Linked DNA regions of Cricetulus griseus. The protein of the gene in region 6 interacts with the protein of the main gene of each other region in a pairwise test. Links are inferred from orthologs where the notes say so. Each region holds a gene or a part of one and is shown on either strand. Other genes may lie near its edges. The genes, in order: Tcea2, Bag5, Eef1aknmt, Znf385c, CUNH1orf35, Thap1 and Acot7.

Evidence for each region.
Region 1: the proteins of Thap1 (region 6) and Tcea2 interact in binary tests that used the Homo sapiens proteins (3 or more experiments, as listed by UniProt). The two-hybrid records come from large-scale screens. The link is inferred for Cricetulus griseus from reciprocal best matches to the Homo sapiens genes THAP1 and TCEA2.
Region 2: the proteins of Thap1 (region 6) and Bag5 interact in binary tests that used the Homo sapiens proteins (3 or more experiments, as listed by UniProt). The two-hybrid records come from large-scale screens. The link is inferred for Cricetulus griseus from reciprocal best matches to the Homo sapiens genes THAP1 and BAG5.
Region 3: the proteins of Thap1 (region 6) and Eef1aknmt interact in binary tests that used the Homo sapiens proteins (3 or more experiments, as listed by UniProt). The two-hybrid records come from large-scale screens. The link is inferred for Cricetulus griseus from reciprocal best matches to the Homo sapiens genes THAP1 and METTL13.
Region 4: the proteins of Thap1 (region 6) and Znf385c interact in a two-hybrid assay, tested with the Homo sapiens proteins (3 studies listed by BioGRID). The two-hybrid records come from large-scale screens. The link is inferred for Cricetulus griseus from reciprocal best matches to the Homo sapiens genes THAP1 and ZNF385C.
Region 5: the proteins of Thap1 (region 6) and CUNH1orf35 interact in binary tests that used the Homo sapiens proteins (3 or more experiments, as listed by UniProt). The two-hybrid records come from large-scale screens. The link is inferred for Cricetulus griseus from reciprocal best matches to the Homo sapiens genes THAP1 and C1orf35.
Region 7: the proteins of Thap1 (region 6) and Acot7 interact in binary tests that used the Homo sapiens proteins (3 or more experiments, as listed by UniProt). The two-hybrid records come from large-scale screens. The link is inferred for Cricetulus griseus from reciprocal best matches to the Homo sapiens genes THAP1 and ACOT7.

Annotation. Positions count from the first base shown.
Region 1 is NC_048599.1:224,119-226,937, reverse strand, and holds part of Tcea2 (transcription elongation factor A protein 2), read left to right. Parts: intron 1-603; coding exon 604-694; intron 695-1,985; coding exon 1,986-2,131; intron 2,132-2,577; coding exon 2,578-2,634; intron 2,635-2,819. UniProt on the Homo sapiens protein: Necessary for efficient RNA polymerase II transcription elongation past template-encoded arresting sites.
Region 2 is NC_048598.1:182,322,529-182,327,071, reverse strand, and holds the start of Bag5 (BAG family molecular chaperone regulator 5), read right to left. Parts: upstream 3,035-4,543; 5' UTR 2,862-3,034; coding exon 2,848-2,861; intron 1,655-2,847; coding exon 286-1,654; 3' UTR 1-285. Other genes in the region: cytochrome c oxidase assembly factor 8, read left to right, coding at 3,527-3,655. UniProt on the Homo sapiens protein: Co-chaperone for HSP/HSP70 proteins. It functions as a nucleotide-exchange factor promoting the release of ADP from HSP70, thereby activating HSP70-mediated protein refolding.
Region 3 is NC_048598.1:29,592,692-29,597,329, reverse strand, and holds the start of Eef1aknmt (eEF1A lysine and N-terminal methyltransferase), read right to left. Parts: upstream 2,909-4,638; 5' UTR 2,651-2,908; coding exon 2,498-2,650; intron 864-2,497; coding exon 104-863; intron 1-103. UniProt on the Homo sapiens protein: Dual methyltransferase that catalyzes methylation of elongation factor 1-alpha (EEF1A1 and EEF1A2) at two different positions, and is therefore involved in the regulation of mRNA translation.
Region 4 is NC_048600.1:113,686,770-113,690,689, forward strand, and holds part of Znf385c (zinc finger protein 385C), read right to left. Parts: intron 1,279-3,920; coding exon 1,130-1,278; intron 1-1,129.
Region 5 is NC_048600.1:73,266,547-73,271,132, forward strand, and holds the start of CUNH1orf35 (multiple myeloma tumor-associated protein 2), read left to right. Parts: upstream 1-1,558; 5' UTR 1,559-3,057; coding exon 3,058-3,302; intron 3,303-3,441; coding exon 3,442-3,487; intron 3,488-3,584; coding exon 3,585-3,667; intron 3,668-3,742; coding exon 3,743-3,815; intron 3,816-3,921; coding exon 3,922-4,007; intron 4,008-4,586.
Region 6 is NW_023276807.1:57,653,815-57,657,580, forward strand, and holds the end of Thap1 (THAP domain-containing protein 1), read right to left. Parts: intron 2,564-3,766; coding exon 2,195-2,563; 3' UTR 831-2,194; downstream 1-830. UniProt on the Homo sapiens protein: DNA-binding transcription regulator that regulates endothelial cell proliferation and G1/S cell-cycle progression.
Region 7 is NC_048595.1:4,175,894-4,180,370, forward strand, and holds the start of Acot7 (cytosolic acyl coenzyme A thioester hydrolase), read right to left. Parts: upstream 2,913-4,477; 5' UTR 2,735-2,912; coding exon 2,562-2,734; intron 1-2,561. UniProt on the Homo sapiens protein: Catalyzes the hydrolysis of acyl-CoAs into free fatty acids and coenzyme A (CoASH), regulating their respective intracellular levels.

The DNA.
Region 1 (2,819 bases), on a different chromosome or scaffold from region 6:
GTATATGCTGGGGAGGAGATTTTCAAGCTGCGGGAGGTCAACAGAAAAGGAGGTCCAGGTCAGCATGCTCCAGATGAAGGAGGAGGAGGTGGGGCTGCTACCTCTGCAAGAGGTAAGCTAGGCAGACAGCATCTGTTTGTGGGGACAGTGGACAACTAGGCTGCAGAGATGCTCCCATTGATTAGGGCGGCAACCATTCCTGGGCTCTGTCTACACCTCTGTGAGACAACCCAGGATCTGTCCCTCCTTATAGTCACATGGCCATCAAGAAGCCTCAGGGTTAGTTTGTCCTGATCCCCAGTACAGGTTTTGGGCAAGGCCCATGTTTTCCGAAGGAGACTTTTATGAGGCATTTGCTTGTTTTCTGGCCAGGTTGGACCTGAAGAGTCCCTCAGCAGCTTGCTTGAGTGGGGGCTTGAGGAGGGTGGGTCCTGAAGAGGCTGGTGGGCTTGCTGGGGACTGGGAGGAAGGTCTGGTGGCCTCCTGGCACCTTGCTTATCTAATGGCTTTGAGCAGTAGGGATAATGGCCAGGCTGAGGCTGAGCTGGCACCTGGCTACCTGCTCCTGACCAGTCTATACCATCTGTTTTCTGATAATGACAGATGTTTCTGATGGCAAGACCAGGGATCAAGGGAGGGGCACACCTCTGCCCACATCATCCTCAAAGGATACCTCAGGGACTACGGATCTCAGGTAGCATATCTGATGGCAGGTATATACATTTCTGCCTCTTGCCTCAGTAGGAAAAGAAGGCTGATGTCTATTTGCCTGGGCACTGCTCTGAGGGAGAGGCCCTTTCTAGGTCACCATTTGTAAGGTTAGTCAGCCTCATGTTGGATACTGTCCCACTGCTCAGTTCCCTTCTTGCCCATCTAAGATGTCTGGCTGAGTCTGCTTGGCTGTCAGTGTCATCACTGAGACATTCAGTAAGAAGGGGCTACCCATCAGGATCTGGCCCAGCCCCAGGCCTCCTTGCCTGTTTACTTAGACCCTATCTTTTTGCTGCTCAGCAGGATTGATGAATGGGTCACTCATGCAATGCTAGCCAGAGCTATAGGTGGGCACAGCTCAGATCTCCACATTCAAGTGTTGTCATACCATTGCCTAAAAGGTGGTCAGGGAAAACCTGTTACCATGGAGACTAGGGGCACTGCTAGTTACAGGTTATGGATGAGAGGCTCCTTTGATCAGGTGGTAGCAGTGGCCAGAGGCTGAGACCAGGCTACAATAGCCTATGCTCTGGACTCCAGCCTTGCAGTCCTGATATGATGTCATGTCCTGAGCTCATTAGCATGCTTATACAGTGGATCTTGCCCCAGAAAGCCACCTGATGCTGCTGATTTCCAGAGGAAAGGGCCTGGTGGGTAGATAGGATGACTGGTAGGCAAGTCTTTTATTGGGCCCAAACCTGAGATCCTTGCCCAATTTCATTTGTGTTGAGTGGGGTCACCTGTGATAAGACTTGACTTTGGGTGATCTCCCACTTCATCTTTACTCCAGAAGTACCTGCCTGTTTCTGCCATTAGCAGAGAGGTATTCACAGCATGGTCCATGTTTTGGGTCTCTTGGGAAGCAGACACTCTGAAGCTAGCAAGAATATCTCAGCCCCCTTTGACTAGGGAGCATTTTATTGAGACACTGATTGTTGAGGAAGGATCTGGCATCCACTTGGGGAGTGATTTGTGGTTCACTGTGGACCTTGTGGCCAATGCCTTTCTCTGATAAGGAAGCCTGAGCACACAGGCATTCTAGGCTGAACTATGGATGAATGAAGTCATTGGGTCTAGCTGGGGGTCTGTCAGGATAGAGCAAACGGGCTTTGGAGGTCAGTGTGGTGTCCATGTTTGCTTTTCTGGGGAATCACCTGTGGCTCAGGAAAGGCCAGGGGATCACCCAGAGAGTGCACTGGGTGGCCTCCCAGTGGTGTACAACAGCTAATGAAGATGCATAACTTAGCTTAACAGGCTCAGTCTGAGCCCAGTAGGCTTTGTCTCTCTAGCTGCAAGAAGCCAGACCCACCTAGGACCTTATCCACTCCGAGGATCACCACATTTCCCTCAGTTCCCATCACCTGTGATGCTGTACGAAACAAATGCCGTGAAATGCTGACTTTGGCCCTGCAAACGGACCGTGAGTACTACAAGCTCTGATTTTAATACTCGTCCAGATTCCTAGGGTGGCCTGGGCCTCTGCCTGCTTTAAAGGTTGCTGTCAGAGAGGTAACATACTCTCTCTCTTGTTTTTTTGAGACAGGGTTTCTCTGTTAACAGCTCTGGCTATCCTGGAACTTGCTTTGTAGACCAGGCTGGCCTCAAACTCACAGAGATCCACCGCCTCTGCCTTCCGAGTGCTAGGATTAAAGGCATGCGCCACCAGCACAGATCTTCTCTTTAGTCACATTCCCTACTGTGACCTAGGGAGGAGGCTTGGGTTTTGGGGTCTCCAGAACACCTGTATCTTGGGAACTGTTTCCCAGGAATGAAGTGACCTATTTAGCTTCTGGGGTGCTGTGCAAGCAGAGGAGTGGCAGGTGGAAAAAGCCAGTGGGGGAAACTAATGAGGGCTCCCTCTTGCAGACGACCACAAGGCTGTTGGTGTAGACTGCGAGCATCTGTCAGCTCAGATCGAGGAGTATATCCTTTACACAGTGTATACAGGGTTAAAGGCTTCTGGTAGAGTCTGTAGGCCAGAGTTGTGCTTCTCCAGTAGCTGTTAGATAACACTGGTAGGTTATCCAGTGCCCTCTTGGGGTGATCCCCTGACCTTTCCTGGGCCATAGATGGGTAAGGGGCTGTGACTACTTGATAGATCTGGGCCT
Region 2 (4,543 bases), on a different chromosome or scaffold from region 6:
CACTTAAAAATTAGGAGTGCTGCCCTTCTCGTATTCCCATCGAAACACACAAAGTCGACAACACAAAGCACACATTGTAAGCATAACGAGCCAAATGGAAAAGTTAATGTGCTATAATGATATTCGTTTTGCAACATCAAAAGCAGCAGAAATACTGCATATAATTTGATTAAATCATAAATACTGAGATTGAATATGCACATAGAAATTACATTTAGGCTCCATGAGCTGAAAGCTCTCTAAAAGCAGATAAAGTGTGAACCAGCAGGAGCAGCTCCTGGTCCATCAGTACTCCCACTCGTCGGACTTCAGATCAAGGTAGCTGAGGATGTTCTGGGCCAGCTTCACAGCCTGCTTCCTAGCAGACTTACACTTCTCTTCTCCCTGGGGGTCAACAGCGTCCAGGGTCAGCAACTGTTTGGTCAGCAGCTCCTCCAGACGGATATAGTTCTTATCAGTTCGGTTTCCACCAAACGAGAGGACTTCACCCTGAATCTCTGACAGGTTTCCAAGGACATCCCACACAGCCTTGTGTGGGGGGTTCTCCTCACTAGGGAAGAGCTTCCTCTTCTCCAGGGCCTCCTTGAGGTCCAGGTACGTGATCAGGGTCTGCACTTCAATCACGGCTCTTCTCCTGGCTTCCCGGATGCAGGGGTTCTTCTCAACACTGACTTCATCTAGCTGTCCGATCAAGCCCTGAAGTTCTGTCTTGGAGCTCAGGTACAGTTCGGGAGGGCTCTGAGCCTGGAGAAGTTCATTTTTTATCTCTCGCATCCTCTTGAGCACCTTTTCTATTTTCAGAATGGAATGGTTCTGCCCCAGGTCAAATGCATGTGTACTGTCAGCTTCCTCTTCTAAATCTAGGTATTTCAGTAGTTTGTTGATGTCCTCCACCACCTCCCTCCGGTAATTTCTGATCTCCGTACGCCCACACACGTCTAAAGCATCTAGATCAGCCATCAACCCTGACAGCACGCACGATAGGTGCCTGCAAGTCTCAGTACTGTCCACGCCCATCAGAAGTGCGATCAAAGTGCCCCTGGCCTTGTTCACCTCACACATCACCAAATTGATCTTGGCAACTGAAGGGTGCACATCCTCAGAGAGCGGCAGGGAAGGCTGCTTCTTCATGCAGTCTTCAATGATCTCTTGCACGGCACAGATCTTGGTTAGGGTGTGGTACCTTGCTTTCCGCAAAGAGATCTTCCCTCCTGTTTTAACATGCGTCAGCCTCAGAATGATGTCCTGGATGCCTTCCTCAAATTCGTCAGTCACACAGTTGCCTCCACTGTAAAAGGGCACGATCTTTTCTTTCACAAGGGCCTGTGCCTCCTTAAAGATGTTCTGGATTTCAATCCGGTGTGGGTGGTTTGCATTCTGCTCCAACTCTTTGAGAAGGCCTTCTGTCTCCTGCGCTGCCCTCTTCCTAGCTTGCTGAATGTCTCCTTTTCCTTCTGTGTCTACAGAGTCTATTTCAAAAAGTTGTTTCGTCAGAATCCTCTCCAGTCTCTTGTAATTCTTGTCATCCGCCAGGCCGCTGAAGCCAACCACTTGAGGCTCTATACTCTTGACTTCTCTTTGGATCTCCTGAAGCCTACTAATAGAAGGGTGTTGGTTTCCCATATCCATACTTCTGTGTTCAGTTTCACAAGCACTGAAAGACGGCAAGAGTAACTTATTACAGTCTCTGCAGGACAGTTAGATCAACCCACTTTAAACTCACTTTTAAAAGGCATACTTTTTAAAGGATTAATTGGGGCTATGGAGACAGCTGTCAGTCAAGTGCTCCAGTTGGAGCTCCAGAACACATGCAAAGACAGCCAGGGCAAGGGCCCTAGAGAGGGCTCAGTGGTTAAGAGCACTGGATGCTCTCCAGAGGACCTGGGTTCAATTCCCAGCACCCACATGGCCTCTCCTGGTCACCTGTAACTCCAGTTCCAGGTGATCTGATCCCCTCTTTTGGCCTCTACAGGCGCCAGGCACACATGTGATGCACACACATACATGCAGGCAAAACACCGGTGCACATAAAACGTAAAAGCCAGGCAAGATGGTGCTCACTTACACCACCGGTGCCAGGAGTCAGAGACGCGTGGACTCTGTGGTTCACTGGCCAGCTAGCCTACTCCGATTGGGGAGCTTCGGGCCATGAGAAGCCCCGCCTCAAAAAAAACAAAGTAGAAGGACACCACAGAAATGGTGTGTCTGGGGGGAGGGGGGCAGGGTTGAACTCTGGCACCCGGGCAAGCACCAAAACACACAGACGGAAGGTTTTGTCGTTATTTATAGATTTGGAAGACATACTCGAGGAAAGAGGAGATGTGACATGTTAACTCCCTCTCGGGAAAGCACTTCACAAAACAATGTGCCAACACGCCCGGCGCCAGGGAGGCAGAGGGAAGAGAATTAGGAGTTCAAGACCCGCCCGGGCCACTCAGTGAGATCCTGACTCAAAAGCAAAACGAAAACAGGGAGAAGTCTGTCCAGTCTGGGGTGGATGTCTGGGCCTGGGAATCAAAGTGAGCCGCGCGCACACACACACGCACACACGCACACACGCACACACACGCACACACTTTCACGGAGGCCAAACCATCCGCGTCAACCCCGTTTCCTCTGCTCCCACCGCCCTAGAGGACGACTGGGAGCGGCAGGCGGGGCGGGAGGCTCCCCTGTGGAAGTCATCGGGCGCTCTCCGGGGCTCCTCACCGGGCCACCGTTCTGCCCCAGGCCCAACCGGACTTGTCCTTTCCACGAAGTCCTCGCCCCCCTCGACTCCCATTGCTGCCCCGACCCGGGCCCCCGCCAGAAAGCGTGACAAGTGCGGTTATTAGCTGGGTCACTCGCCTCCCCGTAAGCATGCTTAGAGCTTTTCCCACGCTCGCTCGCTCGCTCGTTCCGTCTCTCAGGTTTCTGTCAAACCGCTCACTTCCGGCGGGCCGGCCACAGAACTCAGTCCAAGCCCGGAGAGGTGCGGGCGGCGGCGGTCTTGGCGGCCGCGGAGGGCGGCGAGGCGGGAGACCGGCCCGTCACGGGGAGCGGCGCCGGAGCGGGGCCCCCAGCGGCATCCCCCTCGCCCTTCCCGGCTAGGTCTGACCCGGGCGGCCGGTGAAGGGGCCGGCGGAGGCGGCGGCAGCTACTGGCCGCGGCGGCCGCTCCGGGGCGTCTCGGCCGGGCCCGACGCGCCGCCGCCTGACCTCACAATGGGCGCGCGGGAGCGGCGGCGGCGGGGAGAACGAGGCCCGCGCCCCCCCCGCGCTGCGCTGCGCTCACCTGGGCCGCTCGCGCCATCGCGCGCGCTCCTCCGCCTGCACTTCCGCAGCGTTGCCGAGGCGGCGCCCGCCGCGGGGCCGGCCGCCCAGCTCCGAGCCCGGGGAAAAACGCGGCCGGGCCCCGCCCCGGGCGCGCCCGCCGCCGCTCTCCGGGAAAGCGCACGGTCGGCCTCGCCCGCGCCGCCCGCCGCCGCCCGCGCGACGCTGCCGTAAAGCGGACCGCGGCGCTGTCGCGATCGCGCCGCGCGCCGGCCATGGCGGCTCTGCGGCCCGGAAGCGGAGCGCTCGTCCGGCCGCTCGTCCGCTCCTCGTCCAGCGGCGGCGGCGGCGGCCGGCTGGCCCGGGAACGCGGCACGGAGCGCAGGGATGCGGCGTCCAGCCCGGTGAGCGGACGCCCGGGGAGGGAGCGGGGCGTCCCCGGAGCCGGCGTGAAGCGCTGTCGGCGCGCTGCGCCCTCACTTCCGCTGCGCGAAGGCGCCCGGGCTCGGTCTGGAGGCGGCGGCGGCTCGGGCCGCGCGTTGTTTGTAAACAGTCGCGCAGCGTCAGAGGCCGCAGGGCGCGTCCGCAGCGAGCCGGGAAAGCGGCCGGGCGCTCGGCTTTTGTTTAACCCGCCGCCCTTCTTCCCGAGCCGGTGCTTCGTTTAAGGGAGGCCCGGGCCAGTGAGAGTGATGGCTGAGGCTTCAGGTGGAGAGCACTAGACAGCGCCCATGGCTGCCCGCACTGCATTTGCCAGCAGGCCGGCGACACAGGCTGGCGAGGTTTGCTTAAGCAATAATTAAAGGGCCGCAGCGGGGAAAAAAAAGGTGTGTGGGGGAGATAATTAAGAATTGCAAAATGTGCCTGCTGTGTGAATTTCCATTTCTGTTATGCTGCGTCTCGGAAACACTTTTATTAGAACTACAGCTTTTGAAGTCTGTCTAGTCTCCAGTTAAGGTTTGTTGCCCGGGCTCCTGGCCTCTGGCTCGGTTCCCTGGCACGAGAAACAGACAAGCCTTCACTTCTGTCTCTAGAAAAATAGAATTTTAGTCCTTGGGCAGAAGGAAAAACGAAACAGGTGTCTGAACATGTTTGGGGAGGGGAAATGTAACTCAGCCAAGCATTTACTTTGGGGTGTGTGTGTGTGTGTGTGTGTGTGTGTGTGTGTGTGTGTGTGTGTGAGAGAGAGAGAGAGAGAGAGAGAGAGAGAGAGAGAGAGAGAGAGAGAGAGAGAGAGAGAGAGTCTTGCTGCGGGTGTGGTGGCTCAACGCCTTTAACTCACAAGGCAGCCTGCC
Region 3 (4,638 bases), on a different chromosome or scaffold from region 6:
ATTAAAAAGAGCCATGACATACTCAGTCACCAATACCCAAGCCCAACTCCAGCCCCTGTAAGCCAGCCCTTCCAGGGAAAGAGGTGGAACAATCCCAACTCACTGATAAAAATGGCAAAATGACTGTCCCGCGATGGTTTCACAGTGGGGTTGTCCACCACGTGGAGGGTGTAGCGTGGCTCCCCAGTGTCCCCACTGCACAAGTCCAGAGATATACTCCCCAGCCCGGCCTTGCGGCGCAGCTGGCTACACAGCCAAGCATAGTGCTGCCGCTCCCTCACGGCCTCGGCCAGCCGATCGGCACTCTCCAGCCGTACGGGCTTGCCCTGCTCCTGAGTACACAGCTCAAAGATGTGAAGGGCAGAGCCAGGGACTGGCCTGAACTTGGTCATGACGAAGGCAAAGACAGGCAAGGAGAACCGAGGCTCGGCTTCAAACACCTGGTCCTGGCTGTTGGCCACTTGGTGCACCCTCACCATCCACCCCTCCCGAGAGAAGTGACCCACTGCTTTCTTCAGGATGTGAGCCTGAGCCAGGGAGATGCAGAGGTAGCGACCGCCCACCTGCAGGACACGGCCAACCTCAGCCAGCATCCTGTCCACCTGCTGTAGGGTCTTTTCCTCCTCGTCTGTCAGGACAGCATCCAGCGTGCCCTTGTCCAACACCACCTGGAATGTGGCATCAGGAAAGTCCATCTGTGTCATGTCCATCTTCATGAAACTCATGCGGGGCCGTCGGCCGGCGTTTCGCTCCTTCATTTGCTTGATGACAACCTCACTGATATCAATATTCACAATGTCTTCATAGCCCACATCGTATAGTTGTTCGCTTAGCTCTGAGTTGCCGCATCCAATCACAAGGACCTAGAGGAAAAAAAAATCATATACAAAATGGAAGTTACCAAGGCAAAGACATGTTCTTTAATACTTCAAAGAGGAAAGTCTCACCTTGCCTATTTTTTATTCTCAAAAGACAGGACAACTATTTCGAGAAGAAAGCAACACTCAATTAACTCTAGGTGCCATCTTGAAGCTACCAATACAGTTGTGTATGACTCATGCTGAGAACTAGAGTTCAAAACAAAATTGTAAACATTCTGAAAATATTGTATTTTTTTTTTTGCAATGATTTTTCTATGTCACTTGATTGCATGGTTCTCACGTGTGAGTCTTGTAGATGACAACCTTGTATCTCGACGTCAAAAGCTAGACACACCTGGCAGGAATTCACTAATCGAAACAGTATTTTGCCACAATAAAGGTCATGTGACAACAGGGCTTTGTGATGTGTGCTATTCAAAAATTAATGTGTGGCTTGAGAGATAGCTCAGAAGGTAAGAGCTACTACAGTTCTTACAGAGGACCCAAGTTCAGTTCTCAGCACCCACGCGGTACAGCTCACAATTACTTATAACTCTCATTCCAGAACCAGACAGCCTCTTCTGACCTCCACAGGCTCATGTACTCACAGGAGGCACATAAACTCATGCAATCAAACACACATATGCATAATAAAATAAATAACTCCTTTTTTTAAAAAAAAGTCTGTAGGAAGTTGCAAAATGCAAACAAACCAGCTGCAATATTGTTTTACCGTTTAAAAAGCAGCCTGACATAACGATCTCCGTGCACTCATGCTTCCTGTTTCCCAGATAATAAACTACAGTTTGTGAGACTTCAAAATCTGCCCCTATCAGATCCCATCTGATGATATTTAGCTATTCTTCTGAAGTCAAACTTAAAACCCAAATTATTGTCTCTCTCTATGGCACAATCTCCCATTCATCTTTCAAAAATTCTGCTGTGCCCATCTCTTGAAGGAAAAGCATCCTTTGATGGGAAGTGACTAAGCTCTGAGGTCAGACAGACCTGCTTTTAAATCTCCATGTGACAACCTACTACATGCGTGATCTCCAACATTCACCTGTGAAAACAAGTGCACCTAAATTTGCTAAGAATAAAAAGACGGCACACAACAGATGTTGTTTTCTTCCCTACCACCAACACAACCCCATCTCTTCCACACCTCCTTTACTAAAAGTATATATCAACAAAGCCACACAGCACTGCCTAATCCACACTCGTGCAGTGATAGAATACCCTTTCAGACTACTGATAAAAGTAACCATTCCAAAAAGGTCATGAGTTGTTTTGTTGTTGTTGTTGTTTTATTTTTTCTTTTGGTTTCTCAAGACAGGGTTCCTCTGTGTAACAGCTCTAGCTGTCCTGGAACTTGCTTAGTAGCCCAGGCTGGCCTTAAACTCACAGAGATACGCCTGTCTCAGCTGGGGGTTAAAGGCATGCGCCACTGCGCCAGGCTCAAGGATCAGCTTTTGACCAAAAGCTTTAAAACACTATTTTAAAGCTGTCATTTGGCCAAAATGCCGCACGGACTCCTGAATTGTGGATCCGAGTAGGGTACCCACGCTTGCCTGTCTCCTAAGTTTAGAACTGCTATCTTCGGTCCCCACGGAGGGCTTCCTGGCCTCATGTCTTACCTTCTCCCTGGGCTTGATGTATTTGTGCAGCACCTCACACAGCTCCAGATAGGTTCCATACCATTCGAAAGATCTCTTTCCTCGCTGCTGGAAGAACTTCTCCCAATAGTCAACAGAGCCAAACTCCTTGGAGCTTTTAGGTAAGAGATTCATGTTCCCACGGCGAGCTGCGTCCTCGAGACTACTCCTGGTGACAGATCAAGAGGGGACCTCACCACAGGAAGCACCTAGATGCAGCCGCGGGAATCTTACCCACTACAGACAGCATCGATTCTCCCCGCACTCAAAACCCAAACGAACGCCCTACGCGGCACACGCACGCGCGCCGCCCCCTTCTCTGCACGCTCAGCCCGCGCCCCACGTGCAGCAGCAGCCCCACACTCAGGCTGCTACTCTCAGAGCCCAGCAAACACATCCGGGTAAGACGCCTCGGGATTGGTCTGGCGCCCATACCACGCCAGCAGCTCATTGGTCAGTGTGTCTCATTTCTGGCACATCATTGGCTAGGACTCTCTAGCCCTGGGCCTGGATCGTAGGCGTCGCGGGCTTTACCCAAGCCGATTCGGGTGGGCGGGACTTCCTGCCAGAGTCCGGGCGGAAGAGGCCACTACCGAGAGCCGGGAGCCGGGAGCCGGGAGCCGGGAGCGGCTGCGCGCGTCGCCACAACGGCCTCTGAGAGGCTGCGCTCCATGGCCGGCAGAGGGCGCACGGGCTTGGGGAGCCCTCCTAGTCACGGTGGGACTGTGGCTAAACTGCGCAGAAGCTGGAGGCTCAGGAAGAAATCCCTCTTGTTCGGGAGGATGGAAGCCTTGGTGCGCTTGTGCCTCTCTGTCGTCTCAGACCTGCACAGCCCGCTCTGTTCCCTTCCCCATCTTCTCTCCCCGGACTTCCTTTAATTCAGAGGGAAAGGACTACTTTTCTGCTCCAAAATACGGGCCTTCGCTATCAATACTGTAACAATGTAAAATTTCAGGAGGAAAGACTACCAACTTTCTTAGGTGCCTCCTTTTCCCTCTACCTCGCCCCTCAAAACACGGTATCCATACTGAAGCTGTTCATTTTGTTATCGACTTCCTTAAATTGTCATGCTGATGCCAGCTGTAAAGGTATCTTTTATGTGTCTGATGAGCATACCATCCTTTCAAATGTTCGTTGCATGAAAATATTCCAAGGAGGTTCCTGGCGAAGGGCTGTTTTGAAAAGACGATGAAGGAAACAGCACGATAAAGAGATGGTTTATTCTGGAGCCAAATACGGAGTGACCGTAGCCCAGAAACACAAATTTAGGTTCCTCAAATACGGTGTTTCCATGAGGTTGCAATTTCATGGACTTTTTTTTTTTTTTTTTTTTTTTTGGTTTTTCGAGACAGGGTTTCTCTGTGTAGCTTTGGAGCCTGTCCTGGCACTCGCTCTGGAGACCAGGCTGGCCTCAAACAAACCGAGATCCGCCTGCCTCTGCCTCCCGAGTGCTGAGATTAAAGGCGAGCGCCACCAACGCCCGGCTCATGGACCTTTTTATAGTAACAATACAGACAGTAAAATAACACTTCCAAATACATTGGTTGGCATATTGTGAGATGGTTACAAACAAGCAGGAAAGCCGGAGGTCTATTTCTATTTTCCAGAGATCATACATAATGATCACAGAAGATGTTAAGTCACGCACAGAGGACACCAAATGGCTATTAAGGAGGCTAAAGATTGGGATTGGAACATGTCAACCTCTTGGTTGTGATCAATGAGCCATTGAGGACACAGCTTCTTTCCAGTAATTCTTGTTCACAGCCTACACATAGTGCTAGAACAGACACTGAACCGTTAGGGTAGACATCATTTTTAATTTAAAGCAATCTTTTATAATCATCTTTTGAGCATTTATGTGTTAGCTTGTTTTCTCTGTGTAGCCCTGGCTGTCCTGGAACTCATTTTGTAGACCAGGATGGCCTCGAACTCACAAAAATTCTCCTGCCTCTACCTCCCGAATGATGGGAATAAAGGTGTGTGCCACCACTGCCCAGCTGAGCTTTTTTTTTTTTTTTTTTTTTTTTTTTTTTTTTTTTTTTTTTTTTGAGACAGGGTTTCTCTGTGTAGCTTGTGGAGCCTATCCTGGCACTCACTTTGGAGACCAGGCTGGCCTCGAA
Region 4 (3,920 bases), on a different chromosome or scaffold from region 6:
GGACCTGTGTTCAACCCTGGAGGTGACAAAAGGGAGGGAGACTCCTACAGGTTACTGGGAGGGCATGCCACGTGGGTCTCTTGGGGATGGAGTGGAGTTCATCCTGATTTTATTTGATTTTCAGAACTAAAAGGGTGCTGTTCCTCACACCTCATGGAGTACTCCAACATTTTTCCTACACCACACACACACACACACACACACTCCACACAACTGAGTGCATGCACATAAGACAGAAATACACAGACACAAGTTTAGAGGAAGTTACAGACTCACAAGGAGAAAGACACTTTCAGACACGGATGGACTCTCAGTCACCTGAAACTCATACATACCCAGCACCTAAGAGAAGGCACAAAGACATCCAAATCCCTTACATTCACATGCACACATATGACACACAATTGTCTAGGCATCCACACAAAAGTCTTCATAAACAATATACAAATTCACATCCACCCATAACACACAGACCTCCAGAGATACAAGTTCCAAGGCAAAGACATAATTCAAGGTCTGGAGTGATGATTCAACAGTTAAAAGCACTTGCTGGGCAATCATGAGGACTGGCATTCAGATCCCAGCACCCACACAACCAACCAGGTGCCCTAGCAAGTCTGTAGCCTCAGCTCCAATAGGGCTAGAGGCAGGAGGATTGCTGGTTCTTGCTGGTTCTCCAGCCTTACTGAGAAAACAGGAGCTTCAGGTTCAGGGAGGGATCATAGAGGGAGGGCATGCAATGATGTAATGACCTCTCAGGCTGTGGCACATGTACAGGTATGTATATCCACACATGTGAACATACATACATACAGTCACTCAAACACACAACTAAATAAAGAAATAATAAAATAATCTTTAACCCCCCAAATCAAAGACACAAGCCAAGTGCACACAGAGACACCTGGATCACACACACACACACACACACACACACACACACACACACACACACACACACCCCTCTGGGGAGTTGTGATGGTGGGGTGGGAATGACATCACCTTCATCTCTAGCTAGGAGACAGCTGGGTTCTGGGTCCCTATTTGGTAGCACCTAGGGTCAGCTGAGTCACCTTCTTTGCCCACCCCCACACCGTCATGTGCCCCCGCCCTCCTGCCCAGCCCATACCGTGCTGAAGTTGGGGAAGAGACTGAGCGGGGTGGTGCCATTGAGGTGAAAGGCCAGCAAGTGCTTGAAGTCCAACGGGGTTTGCAGAGGCCGGGTGGGCAGGGTCAGGGAGGCCAGCAGGGGGCTGGGGGCGCTGGAGGCGGGGCCTGCTGCAGGAGGAAGAAGGGCAGGGTCTGAAATGAGGAGCCAGAAGGCTCTCTCTCCCACCGCTGCTGCCACAAGGAAAGGCTGTTGTACAGCCAGGACAGGAACTCCTGGCTCCCTCTTTGTAACTGCAGCTGAAGCAAGTTGAAGAAGCGAAGTCAAGGAGTCTCCAGCTCAAGTCTCCTAGACAGAAGAGTGAGCCTCTCTCACAGACACCCAGAGGGAGTTCAGCCAAGAGAGGGGTCAGAGTCAGGGTTAGCACACACATCCATGGTGACAGCATGATGTGCTTGCTGTGTTCCCACTTTATCCCTAAGTACCAAACTCAGGGAGTGTAGGGAAAGGCCAGCTCCCCTTCCTCTCACTAATTGTCCCTTCTCACTTCAGGTTCCATACCACTCACAGAAGGAATGAAAACAAGCCCCACAGCATGGGCCTAGAGAGATGGCACAGTGCTTAAGAGCACTGGTCATTCTTCTACAGGACCTAGCGAGGTTTGAGTCCCAGGACCCACATGGTAGCTCACAACTGTAACTTCAGTTCCAGTAGCCCCGATGCCTGCTTCTGACCTCTGCAGTCATCAGGCACACACATGGTGCCCATACATATATGCAGGCAAAGAATTCATCCATACATATAAAATAAATTGTTAAAACCCCACAAAATTAAAAAGAAAGAAACCTACAGCATTCTCAAAGTTTGGGTCTCTAGTTCTGGTGAGACCCCCCCCCAAACCAGTCCTCAGGACACCCAAGAACAACACTGTGGTTTTGCAGTCTTTGGTCTTAACCATGTAAAGCAAAGGCAGGAAAGGGCTGGGAACCAACAAACCAGATTTTAAGGAAGGGAAGAAAAAAAAAAAAAGCAGGTATCAATCTAGGTTATTGGAGACTTTCTTGGGTCCTGTAATTGCAAAACCAGAAGAAGTCCTTTTCAATACTTGGGTGTTAACCCTCTGAAACATAAAATGGGTTTATTTAGCATCTGTAGATGTATGTCTATAAACAGTCAAGTACAGAAAAGCCGGCAGGCAGCAGGTCGGAGGAGAAGAGAGGGAGGGAGGGCGCCATTGCCTCTCTGGAATCATTATGCACTTGACCTATTAGTTTGTGCGCAGATAGCACCGAGCTGTGGGTCAGAACAAGCATTGGCATCCAGTTTACAATCTCTTAAGAAAAGAGACGCTGTAAAGCATGGGACGAGGGAATTCTCGGGGACCCCTTCTTCTTCACCTGTTTCTCCAGTTCCTAAAGCCCAACCTTCTTTCCTCCAACCGAAACCCGAGGAGAGGGTCCAACAGAGAAAAAGCAAACTCTGAAAGGTCAGAAGGGACCGGAACTGTCCAGAACCTAGGTAGCACCACTACCAGTTGCGCAGGCTCCCCATTCCTCATAGACAGGTTTGGTGAAGAGCAGAGTACAACACAGTAGGTCAGCTTGAGTGTAGTATGGTTAAGAGTGTGTCTGGGGGTGGGGGTGGGGGCTGGCGCTGGCTGGGAGGTTAAGAGCACTGACTGCTGTTCCAGAGTTCCGGAGTTCAATTCCCAGCAACCACATGGTGGCTCACAACCATCCGTTATGAGATCTGGTGCTGCCTTCTGGTGTGCAGATATACATGGAAGCAGAACGTTGTATACATAAAAAAAAGAAAAAGAATGTGTCTGAGCGGGGCTGGAGAGATGGCTCAGTGGTTAAGAGCACTGACTGCCAGAGGACCTGAGTTCAATTTCCAGCACCCACATGGCACCTGGCACCCTCACACAGATCTGTAGGCAAAAAAAAAAAAAAAAAAAAAAAAAAAAAAAAAAAAAAAAAAAAAGTGTGTCTGAGCTCCCTTCAGTTTCCACTGCTGCCGGCTAAGGGGAGGCACCCCAGGAGTCCCTCCCCCATCTGCTTTCTAAGAACTCCACGGCCAGTGCAAAATCAAACTCATGCGGGGGGGGCGGGGTGCCACCACCGCAGCTTGAGGCTGCAGCCCACCTTGTTCAGCAGCCCCGCGCGGGCAGCACCAAGGCTAGGGAGTCGAAGTCAGGAAATAGCTGGTGCAGCTCGGGAAGCGCACACGCCAGCTTGATGCAGGGCCAGCGGGCAAAGGCGCCCCACGGCGGCTGGCCACCATGCACTTGAAGAACTCGCCCAGTGCGCTGGTGCACCAGTGCCCGCCCCTCAGGGTAGGGGCAGGGATCGAAGATCATCGCCAATGCGGCCACTGCGTCCAGCGAGGGTTCAGGAAAGGACACCCCCAGCGTGCTCGTGCATAGAATCCAGGAAAGCTTCCTGGAGGCTCTCCAAGCCTTGCGGCGAAGCCTCTGGGTAGCCCAGCAGCTCCACACCGCGGTCGCCACCCCAGTTGGGGTCGGGCGGAGAGATCGCTAGCTCCAGCAGGAAGCTCTGGAGACGCGCTGAACTCCCAGCGAAGCTGCGAAGCTGCAGCTGCCATCACTACCGGCTGCAAGACCAGGTTCGGCTCCTTTGTACTGCAGGACCAGGGCAAGCTTCTGCACCGAAGGCAGAGAGGGTGTAGAGTAGCGGATGAAGGCTCCGAAGATAAACTGGAAACCGGAGCACCAAGGTGCTCACCAGGCAAGGCCAGGCCTCAGCCACTATTTCTACAACAGGCTACGCAAAGGACCAATAAACTGACCAAT
Region 5 (4,586 bases), on a different chromosome or scaffold from region 6:
CCCTGCTTCCCTCTTAGCTTCACCTAGTGAAGCATTTTGTGGTCAGACAGTGCAGCTGAGCCTTCTATGTCCTTAGCATACCTGGTCAACGGTGAGGGCCCCAGAAGTTGCTATCTTGCTTTCTGGAGATCTTTCCTGGGAGATGGCTGGTTTGCTCCTTTTTTACTGTGGCCCACATGACTGCTGCTCCCTTAACTGTGCAGCTCCCCTTGGGTCCATCCATGTAATACATCCATCCCTAGTGTGATCTTGTTCTTTTTGTTTGTTTTTATTTTGAGACAGGGTTTCTCTGTGGCTTTGGAGGCTGTCCTGCAACTAGCTCTTGTAGACCAGGCTGGTCTCGAACTCACAGAGCTTCGCCTGCCTCTGCCTTCCGAGTGCTGGGATTAAAGGCGTGTGCTACCACCACCTAGTGTGATCTTGTTCTGAGGGATCTAGTTCCAGCTGTGTCCTCCAAAGCCAGGATATGAACTCAGGGCTTGTACTAGGTGCCTCACAAGCTGTTGGCAGGTTCTCAGCATGTGTTCAGAATGAAGACATGAACAAAAATGGGGTTGTCTTGGTCTGTTTGGGATGACAGAGAGCACCAGGTTGGATAATTTTTCAAACTAGGGATGGAACTTGAGACCTCTCTATCATTAAGATGTGGCTCTGTTTCTCTTTCTTATGTTGAGGCAGGGCCTTGCTAAGTTGCCCAGACTAGCTTTCAGATCTCTTTGTAAGCCTAGGCAGCTCTTGAACTTCCAACCAACCTTCCTGCTTTAGCCTCTTGGGGACCTAGGATTACAGACTCTTGTCACCAGGCCCAGTTCAGACTGGGTACTTTAATTAGCAGAGTGGCATACACCCTATGGCATGTGGGTGATTAAATGATAAATTGTGTAAGTTGGTTCTCTCCACCATGTGGGTCCTGGGGATTAAACTTGTTTCAGCAGGCATGACAGCAAGAGCCCATACCCACCCAGCCATCTCACCAGTCATGGGTACTTTATAAATAGTAATTTGTTCTCACAGTTGCAGATTTTATGCATGTTTTATCTTATAGAATATGTGAAGTTTCAGGGGCTGGAGAGATGGCTCAGCTGTTAAGAGCACTGACTGTTCTTCCAGAGGTCCTGATTTCAATTCCCAGCAACCACATGGTGGCTCACAACCACCTTGAATGAGATCTGGTGCCCTCTGCTGGCATGCAGGCAGAAGACTGTATACATAATAAATAAATAAAATCTTAAAAAAAAAAAAAAAAAAAAAAAAGAATATGTGAAGTTTCCCCAAAAGCAGTGGCAGAGGAGTTCTCACAAGGGAGTGATCCAGCTGCTCTCAAGATAGGTCCCTAAAGAAATACTAGGGTGAGGTGTAGTAGTTCACATACGTTCTTTTTTTGGTTTTTCAAGACAGGGTTTCTCTGTGGCTTTGAAGGCTGTCCTGGAACTAGCTCTTGTAGACCAGGCTTGTCTCGAACTCAGAGATCCACCTGCCTCTGCCTCCCGATTGCTGGGATTAAAGGCATCTGCCACCAACGCCCAGCTCACATATACTTTTAATCGAAGCACTTGGGAGGTAGAGGCAGATGGATTTCTGTGAGGCCAGCCAGGGGTACATGGTAAAACTCTATCTCAAACACAAACTGAGAGAGGTTGGCCAAGTTGCCTCTCCTGATTAATTCTGGGAGAACTGGAAACCAGGGGGCTTAAGGCAGCCCAGCACTTGAGTTCAATCTGCATGACAAGGCTTGTTTTTTTTATTTTTCACCTCCTTTGAAAACAAGAGCTACAGATTTACAGTTCTGCAGGGGAGCCTGCTTCACAGGCCAGCATGCTCAAGGTTATGTAAATCATAACAATGTCTGTCTTCAGAAAAACAGTCGAGGTATAGGAACATCACCCTATTCTGTAGAAGCTGAAGAAGGTCCCAGGCGTTCTTGTGTTCCTTCCCACATTTGTTTACATTCCAAATTCCCTTTTTGAGAAATATTAACATGGGATGTTCCCATGTTCATGTCAAATTCATTATATCCTCACCACTCCCCAAAACAGTCTGGATGCCAGCACTATAGAGTTGGGACAACAGATCTGTTCTGGGTTCTAGACAGCTAACATCTCATTTTATATTAGAGACTGAATGTAAGTGAGTTCTCCAGGGTTCCCTTCGTAGGGGCACTAATCTGTGAGGCTCTGCTTCATTACCTCAAAGGCCCAGCCTTCAAATATAACCCTAGTGGATGTTTTAAAAATGATAATAGGGGTGTGGGTTGCCACACAGTCTATTACAGGCAGTTAAGGCTAAGACTATAATGCAGAAAAATTGCACTCATTTAAGCTTTAGTCCAGACATCGACTTGATCGTTCATTGGCTGCCAGGTAAAACTAATGATTCTTCCAGAACCAAATGACAGTACTAAACCTGTATTCAAAGAAGCTTAGTTACTCGTTATTCTTGGTCATGCCCCATCAGAACAAATGCAGTTAGCTCTGTTCTTCGTACTTCATCAGTAAAGTCACCTGCAGAAAACACAGATCGCTCTGGTTTAGGGAAGCTTGTGCTTTGTGGCCTTTATCTCACTTTCGTGACACAATGTGTCATCCAGTACACAGAAGAGTTGATCTGCGTTTCTTTGGGGGCTTTAATCGCCACTCATGGTCCCAGGGATTTACTTCATCTCAGCTCTGACCTGGGACCCCCACTCCTTTTGAGTTAGCACGCCTGGCTTTTGTCCGGCCCTGGCCCCTCCTGGTGTCACCAAGGTTTGTTGGCATTCCAATCCACCGCATGACACTGAGATCAGCAGCCGTTTCTTCGAGGAGCTAGTGCGCAGGCGCACGTGGAAATGGGATGAAGATGCGCCTGTGAATGAGTTACTACTTGAACACCGGGTGGAAAGAGGGCTCTCGAGGCTGAGGTTGCCCGAGCCATGCAGAGCGCAGGCGCGCGGACACCTTAGTGAGACGCGCAGGCGCACAAGTGACGTCACGGCGAGCGTCCGGCGGCCGAGTGCTGCGGGAATCTGACGCTCGGGCTGCGGGTACTGGAGATTGTGCAGCGAGCGGCTCCGTCGCCATGTTCGGCTCCAGTCGCGGCGGCGTGCGTGGCGGACAGGACCAGTTCAATTGGGAGGATGTGAAGACCGACAAGCAGAGGGAGAACTACCTAGGCAACTCGCTGATGGCGCCAGTGGGCCGCTGGCAGAAGGGCCGCGACCTCACCTGGTACGCGAAGGACCGCGCGCCGTGTGCCGGCCCGAGCCGTGAGGAAGAGCTGGCGGCTGTGCGCGAGGCGGAACGCGAGGCGCTGCTGGCCGCACTGTGAGTTTCTGGGCTGCGGGGCGACTGCGAGCTCCGGGGATGGGATCTGGGTGGCCCCGGGGCGGGGCTAGATGTAGGCTGGGCAGGGGAGGAAGGCTACGGGCTCATGCCCCTTGACGTGTACCCTCGACCCTCGCAGAGGTTACAAGAACGTGAGAAAACAGCCCACCGGCCTGAGCAAAGAGGTGAGTCTGGGGTGCGGGTTCAGGGTCCTCAGGGCTGGCGGGGCTCTATCTGTACCGGCCTAGAACCTCTCCCCACCCCCACTCCCCGCTTCCTCAGGACTTCGTAGAGATCTGCAAACGGGAAGGAGGCGATCCTGAGGACAAAGGCGTGGACCGGCTGCTGGGCCTGGGCAGCGCCAGGTGCGGCGGGTTGGGTAGAAGGGGGCAGGACTGGGCGGTGGTCCAGAACTGTCCTCAATGTTCTGTCTTTTGCAGTGGTTCCGCAGGCCGTGTGGCACTATCCCGGGAAGACAAAGAGGCTGCCAAGCTTGGGCTGTCAGTGTTCACGGTAAACTGTCGGCCCAAATGCTCAGGATCCTGGGCTTGGGGATGTCTGGGGAGACGTGGGGCGGGACTCCCTGGGTGTCCCTCCCTACAGCTGCGCTTCTATATAGCACCACCGCGTGGACAGCGAAGGCCCAAGCACCACCCCATCTGCTGCCAGGAAGAAGCCTCGTGCTGAGGACAAGGCCGAACTGGAGTAAGTTGAGGAGTCTGAATACTTATTCTACCTACTCTGTGTGTGCGCTTTTGAGTCTCTTGCTGGCATCCTATGTGAGTTGTGCACACTGCACTAAGAGTGTATTCACAGGAGATACTGGGTGTCCAGACCCACAGGTATACTGGGAGGTTAAGTGCCAGGTCTTTTTTTTTTTTTTTTTTTTTTTTTTTTGATGGAACCAAGCACTGCCCTTAGTTCTTTTGGCTTTACTGAAGTTGTTGGGCCTCCACCTCCAGGCTGGATGTGCCTGCCCATCCAGATGCCTGAAAGAGGGAGTGTCTCTGTAGCTGCCATTGAGGGCCAGCAAGGGTGATGGTTGCAAACAGGAAGGTGTCACTCAGACAGAGCCATGATGCTGGCCAGTTTGATGGGAGGTGGAGCAGTTAAAATATGAAGCTACAAGTGGTGGTGCTTGCCTTTCTTTAATCCTAGTTGGTAGACAGAGGCAGATTGATCTGAGTTTCCACCAGCTAGTTTCCAGGCCCAGGGATTTAGTTGTGTGTCTGTCTGGTTACTTCTGCTTTTTTTGTCAACTCAACTTTGTACTTAGTGATTTCC
Region 6 (3,766 bases):
TCATTTTGCACTTTTTAAACTACGGGTTCACATGGAGAATAATGATATACACTTGTAACCCCAGCATTTGGGAAGTTGAGACAGGATTACTATGCATTTATTGACAGCCCATGTACATAATTCAAATCTAGCCAGAGATACAAAGCCAAACTGTGTTTCAAAAACAGAAAAACAAAAGAGCTTGGATCAGACATGGTGGCATGATGAGAATGCCTCTAATCCCAGCACTTGGGAAGCAGAGGCAGAGGTAGGCAGATCTCTGCCAGTATGAGATCAACCTGGTCTGCAATGAGGCCAGAAGAGGGCATCAGGTCACCAGAAACCAGTTACAGCAGGTTCTGAGCTGCCATGTTGTTGCTGAGAACCAAACTTAGGGCTTCAAAGTTTTATGTGTTCTTAACCTCTGAGCCAGATCTCCAGTCATATAAAATATATCTTTAGAAAATTAATAATAGGGGGCCAAGCTTGGTGGTAAATAAACACCTTAAATCCTAGCACTATGGAAACAAAGGCAGATAGTTTTCTGTAAGTTTGAGGCCAGCCTGGTCTACATAATGAGTTCTAGGACAGCCAGGATAGCCAAAGCTGCATAATGAGACCCTGTCTCAAATAATAATAATAATAATAATAATAATAATAATAATAATAATAGAGAATGGAGAGATCGGGATATAGCTTGGGGGCAGGGTGTTTGCTTAGCCTGCTAAAGGGCATGTTCAATCTTCAGTACCAAAAAAAGAGATGTTCATAAAACTATCAAATGTCCATGAATTAAAAGTGCTACCTATTCTCAGCATGGCAGTAAATAAGAAATAAGCAGATCCACAAAAGATGCTTGAATAGCATGTCTTTAATACTGTCTTAAAAGGTCTGCTACTCAACTACAGAGAGTGTACTCTGAAATGTAAAATATGGTTCTCCTAAACCTAAATAGAGAATTCTTTTATCAGTATTTGTCTACTTAGAACATATTTTCATTTCAAAAGAATGTAAGCTTTCTCACAAAGTCAGAACACAATTCACATTGTGAACAGAAACTACAATATTTAAATCTCAACATTTAAGGACATAAACACAGCACATTATTTTCAAACATAAGTCACTTAAAGTAAATTAGATGTAATTTCTAACTTAGGTGAAAAAATATTTTTTATGCAGTGTCTTGACCAAAATCAAACAGTTAAGGGGAAAACTACCATATTCTGATGCAAACCAAACTCTACTAAAATCATATTAGAGATCTGAATGCAGATAAACTACGGCTGTAGAATTAGATGCCTTAAGCTAGGGGATGATGAGAGCGTATCAGGAACCAGATCCCAATTTTGTTTATGAGTGTGCAGATATGCCACAGCATATATGGAGGTCTGAAGACAGCTCTGTGGAGTTGGCTCTCTCTTTCCACCCTTATGTGGATCCCAGGTGTTAAACTCAGGTTGTCAGGGGACCAGGCTTGCACGACAAGCACCTTCACCCAGGGAACCGCCTCCCCAGCCCAATTTTCACTACACTGGTAACAATCCTTCACTTTGAGGCCTTCATTCCCCAAGATACACTTCCAATTTTACAAAGCTATGGACAAGAAGGACCCACTTCTAAAAATCTACTTTATGAAGTTATTGATTAAATATGGAATGACTTTTCTCTTCTGAAGACAGCAAAATATTATTTTCCTCAAATATTGACTTGACAGTTTATTTTGACAAGTGATTGAGAAAAATAAATGAAGCTCTGACTATAAATACAAATGTGTATGTACATCTCTATATTCTGAGAGGCTGTCCTATGATCTCATTTATACTTCTGATTTAAATTATAAGTTCTCTCAATAAAGGGCATTAATTTTAACTTTTAAACTTAAATCATCTTTACTGCACCATTATCCTCTCTACTTTTCATTTTTACATTATTTCTATAAATACTCAAATGAAAAACAATCCACCATCTTGAAACCAATATACAACATTATATTGGCGGTCTAAGGATTTTTTAAAATATTTTGTTAAAGTGTAAAAACCCTGAAATTACAAACAAAAAAATTACAATTTTACAGTATATAACTAATTTATTTTAAAAAAATATTCTGATTTTTTTTTTTTTATACAAGTAATCAAGTACTGTTTTTTCAAATGAAATCCTGTGTGTCAGCTACAAGAGAGCATGTAGTCTTGTCCCACTAGTACATCTCATTTTCTCAGGCTGGTACTTCAACAATTTCAAAGCAGTCATGTGGGAGAATCACATAGCCCCTTTCTGACGCATCATCTCTCTCTCTCTGGAAGTGCACTGCTTCCTTTAGCTTCTCCAGCTGTCTCTCCTGCCTGCGGCACCGCTGCTGGGCGGTCTTGAGTTTCTTCCTGAGCTTTTCGACCTGCTGCTCCAGCTGGTGAATCCGCTTCCTTTGGTGCATTGTGTCCTCCACAGTGTAATTGTGGTCACAGAACACCGACAGGTTATCAGGGGTCTGGAGGGGAGGCATTAGCAGCCCAATAGCAGCATCGACCTGGGAAGTAGGGGGTGAAGGAGGAGAGGGAAGCTGTTCTTGGGGTTCCAGATCTTCCTTCTAAAATAGCAACATAAAAGCATATGTGAGTTTAGTAACTAATGGCCTCCAAACATCTGTAGAGTTTTAGCATTGGACTTTTTTGTCACTTCATGGTACAGAAAAAAAAAAACGAGAAAGAGAAAATAGGTTTTCTTGGAGATGGTTTTGACAACATTGGCATGGAATCCAGGTTGCCAGGACCTCAACACAAAACTTTTTATCATTAAAACTATATCTTCCAGGCTAAAAATTTCAACACTAGGTTTTGGCTTGTATGTGGATTTTTAAGAACAGGGTCTTATATAAAGTAAAGGATTACCAGCCTACAATCCACACTGCCAGAGATGCTAGTAAACAAGGAGGACCCTAAGAGAGACATACATGGTCCCCTAGAGAAGGGGAAAGGGTCAAGATCCCCTGAGCAAATTGAGAGCATGGGAAGAGGGGGGGCAGGAGAATGAGAAGGGAAGAGGAAGGATGCAGAGGTCATGAGGGAGCAGAAAGGTTGAGTCAGGTGAAGAATAGAAGAAGGGGGATGTGATAGGTAGGGTTTTAGTTGGAGGTGGGGGGAGGGGTGGGGAGTGGTGGGGAGGATTGAGGGAGAAGGGAACTGGGATTGTCATGTAAATCAATCTTGTTTCTAATTCAAATAAAAAATGATTAAAAAAAAAAAAGAACAGGGTCTTGTTGTGTAGCCTAGGTTGGCCTCACACTTCAGATCCTCCTATACCTCCCAAGTTCTAGGACAACAAGTAACATGTAACTCCACCTGCCATAAGTTTGGGGTGGGTTTTGTTTGTTTTGGTTTTTTTTTTTTTTTGGTGTGGGGGGGAAGCAGTGTGCTTACTGTATAATCCAGGTTGGCCTGGAAATTACTATGTTTATACCAAGCTAGCTTCACACTTGTGGCAATCCTCTTGGTTTGTTCTCCCCAGTGATCAGACTGCAGGTATGTGACACCACAAGCCATTTTCAGTTCCAATTCAAATTTTCTATTTGCAGTTAAAGTGAGATTTGTGAAACTGAGAAAGTGATTTAGTTAGATGTAAGTAAATACTAAACACCTAAAACAAGAGAAAAATAATTTGAAAATAAACTGTCATTAATAATGAAAAACAAAACTTATCAACATGTAAAGACACAGAACTGTTTTTAACTTACAAAACTAGAATGAGTTTTTAAGTGTGAGATATTAAAATTCATAGAATTCTAAATTTTTTA
Region 7 (4,477 bases), on a different chromosome or scaffold from region 6:
GGCTATTCTTTTCCTCTCCAATGCTTTTGGTGTCTTTGTTGTAGATTGTGTGTGTGTGTGTGTGTGTCTGTGTGTGTGTGTGTGTGTGCGCGCGCACATGTGGGTCCATGTGAATGTGTGTGCGTGCGCACATGTGGGTCCATGTGAATGTGTGTGCGCGCGCACATGTGGGTCCATGTGAATGTGTGCGCGCGCACATGTGGGTCCATGTGAATGTGTGTGCGTGCCATGTTGTGCCCATGAGGTCAGAGACAGCCTCAGGTGTTGGTTCTCACCTTCCACCTTGTTTGAGACAGGGTTTCTTATTCCCTACTGTGATTTCAAGGCCAGCCTGGTCTATGTAGCTAATTACAGGACAACCCAGGCTATAAAGTGAAACCTTCTCTCAAAGAGTAGGGAGGAGTCAGAGGAAGTGTGATAAAGTGCTGCTCTTCCAGAGGACCCAAGTGCAGTTCCCAGCCCCACATGGCACCACAACCTCCTAGGACTCTAGCTCCAAGAGGCCCAACACCCTTTTGGACTCTGAGGACACCTACACACATGATCTACACACATAACATACATAAATTTAAAAACAATAAACTATTTTTTTGGTTTTTCAAGACATGGTTTCTCTGTGTAGCTTTGGAGCCTATCCTGGCACTCGCTCTGGAGACCAGGCTGGCCTCGAACTCACAGAGATCCACCTGCCTCTGCCTCTGCCTCCCGAGTACTGGGACTAAAGGCGTGCGCCACCAATGCCCGGCTAAAATAATAAACTTTTTAAATTTTTTTATTTAACTTTATTTTATGTGCATTGGTCTCAAAGTATCCCCTGGAACTGGAGTTACAGACAGTTGTGAGCTGCCATGTAGTTGCTGGGAATTGAACCCAACGCCTTTGGAAGAGGCGTTTTAACCTTTGCTCTTAACCGCTGAGCCCTCTCTCCAATTTATTATTTTCTAGGGGAAAAATAATAAATTTTGAAGAACGAGGAGGAGGAAAGGGAGGGGAGAGAGGAGGGAGGAGGGGAGGGAGGAGGGGAGGGAGGGGGGAGGAGGAAGGAGGAGGAGAAGAGGAAGAAGCCACCGCTGCCAAGTGTGGTGGCACACAGCTTTAACCCCAGTACTTGGGAGGCAGAGGCAGGAGGATCTCTGTGAGTTCCAGGCCAGCTACAGCATGTGGTCCAGGCCAGAGCTATTCCACAGAGAACCCGGTCCCGGAAAAAGACAATGGCATCTGAGTCATCAGGGGAGTGCCAGCTGGAACTGCAGTGGGACAATACTGCACACCCACTAACAAGCAAGTGCTGGCAGCTGTGGGGACACTGACCCCTTCAGCACGCTGGGAGACATAATACAGCCAGGTCCTGTGGAGCCACCTGCATGCCTCAAAGCCTGACTTGAAATAACCAGGTAATTCATTCTCTCCCAAATGAGCTGTTTCTGTGCACACCACCTCTGCTGACAAACATCAGGTGACAAGTTTCCACCCTTCAACTCAGGTCCTACAAGTCACTGTCATTCTGCCGCCAACCCCACAGTCCCCAGAGACCACGCACTTCAGACACCTGATACAAGTCCACTGGTCACAGTCAGTCATCTAAATCAGTGTTCCCACAAGCCCCTCCTCAATCTGCTAACTGGGGAATTTCCTGCAGGCACAGGGCACTCTACTGGGTCCTGGTGCTGGGGAGACAGGTGCAGAAGGCAGTTTGGAGACAACCTGAATTACAGTAAGGCTCTATCCCCCCAAGAAAAGACGATTTCCTTTTTTTAAATGAAGGACACAACGAGGACCAGCCACACTGATGCAGTGGCTGCCACTGGGAAGCTGGAAGATAAATGTTGACCTCAGCATAAGGGGATTTCATGATTGATCAAGTCATTGGTCATGGGTGATTAACTCAAGCCAAGAACCTCCCCCACCCCGGTAGCAAGTAACGGGGTGGAGCCAAAAGTTCAAACCCTCCAGTCCTTCCTGCAAGTCTTCCTGGGCCAGCCCCCAGTCATCTCATTAGCATACAAAGACACATTCCTGTCACTCCAAGAGTTTCAAGAGCTAGAAGACCCTATCATTGCTTTGCAAAACTGATGGTGACATCTCAGGGAAGGTGCTAAAGCCACCAGGTTGTGAACTTTAGTGGATAAAATGTAGGCATGTGAATTACATCCCAACAACGTTTCTGCAAAGCTTAGGGAAATGAAAGCCCATTCATCCAGGACCAAACAGGGCATGCGCAGAAGCTGCGGCATCTCTCGGCCACCTGGAACAGCCGCTTGGAAGAGGGCCTGGACCTGAGCCAGCACAGCTGCTGGTCATAGGATGTGGTGATCTCCAACCACACCCAAAGGAATTCATGTCTAGGAAGGCCCCAGCTTCCTACAGCCTGGAGCCCAGGAGCCTCCACTGGTCCCCAAAAGGACAGCAGCAAGACCGGTTTCAATGGATGACTACCTATTGACAAGAGGCAGCTCACCAACCCCATTCCTAAGGATTTACAGCCTACACTCTTGCTGTGCCTGAAGCCTAAGCCCAGGAGCAGAGTCCCTGAGGGAGTAGATTAGCATCAGTCACCCTACCTTCCCATGGCGATGATACAATGTCCAGACATTTGGAGATCTGCTCTGGTCCTGACAGCCCTCATGGGAGCCCAGTGTCTTCCTTCCCTGAGCCCCTGGCCTGTCTCCAGGCTCCAGGAGGCTACCTGCCTCCCCACCTCCCAGAGGCGCAGAGTCCTGGCAAACAGCTTCATCCTGTGGAGTGGGACAACCCGTTTATCTTCCCTCTCAGCAAAAGGCTTAGCTGCTGTGTCCACCACTCGGCACCGGCTTAGCGATCCGAGTGGCCTCCTCAAGGGAATCCAGCCGGCTCCTCTTTCCACCACTAGTAAGTAAGTAGGCAAATGAGGGAGGAGCAGGCAGTCAAGCTGGTGGGTCTGTGCCTGCAGCCAGTGATGCAAGCAGCTCACGAGGAGGTGTGAAGTCACTCAGCCTTGCCTTACCTCTAGGAGGGAGATAAGGGGGAGGAGAAACAAAGGCACCACCTATCTGCAGGACTGACAGACAGAGCTCCCTCTAGGACCCCCAATCTCCAAGAACTTCAAGCGGAGCTTCACCCTTCTTGGCTTATGCCAAGTTGAAGCACAGGTCCCACCTGGGCCAAAAGATCCTCAGCAAGGCTCGGCTGCCAAGTAGGGCAGAGGTGCTGGCTGAGCACGAAGGCCGCGGAAGTTCAGGAGGACTACAAAGTGCTGCAGTGGGGCAGGACCACAGAGGAAGCAGGGCTGGAGGCTGGACTCCGCCCTCACACTCTGAGGCTGAGGCTTGAGAGCTGGTGTTTTCTATTTTCTACTCTCTACTGTGGAAAAAAACCAAAGGCTTAGAAGAGTCCCTTGCCCCCCTGCCGCCCCCCCCCACCCCCGTGTCAATTCAACTGCCTCTGGGCCACCACTGGTTTCCTCTCTGCTCTCAGCACTCTCCAATGCCAGGTTATCTTGCAGCAAATCCCAGACAACATGGTCTGCCATCCTCTCTAAAACACAGCTCCTTCTGAGATCCACCACAGGCTAGGTGGACCACATTTGTCCTCCCATTTACTAGAGGGCTTAGGAAGCAGAGGAAGAGGCTCACTTGAGGCCAGAATTTCAGGATAGCCTGGGCAGCACAGTGAAGTCTCACACATACTTTTGATTTGTTTTGTTTTTATTCTTATTTGGGTTTTTTTGAGACAGGGGTTCTCTGTATCTTTGACTGTCCTGGAACTTGCTCTGTAGACCAGGCTGGCCTCGAACACAGAGATCTGCCTGCCTCTGCCTCCTGAGTGAGTCACCATGCCCCACACCCCCACCCTGACTGTTTTGTTTTTAAAGACAGGGTCTTACTATGTCACCCTGGCTCACCTGGAACTCAACTATGTAAGCCAGTCTGGCCTCAAAATCACAGAGATTCCCCAGGCTTCCTCTGCCTTCCAAAAGCTGGGATTAGAGTCATGCACTACCAGGCCTGGCTTTCCATTTTTAAATAAGTAAACATATAAATAAGTAGATAAACCTAGAACATATACTAAAAATCCCTCAGCCTCATCAAACATCAAATGACTGTTCCCATGCCCTAGATTACATCCCAACACCTGTGAAATCTGCCTGGCACCATGTGTGTTCCAAGGACAACACGCAGATCACTCACCAAGTTTATGGGGCAAGCACGCTGGTCTCTACTTAACATTTAACAACATTAATTATCATACTTTAAAAAGAGAGAGAGAGAGAGGTCTCATCACACAGTCCAGTTGGCCTTCTGCCTCTGCCAGCCATACAATGGAAAGACAGGTGTGTGTCACCTCACACTAAGGGTTTTTCTAATTTACTTTAATAATTTTATTATGCGTAGAAGAGGGGGTACATGTGAGTGACAGTGCCTGAGAAGGCCAGAGGCATTGTCTTTTCTCAAGGTAGAGTTAGAGATGGTTGTGAGCCAACTGACATAGATGCTGGGAA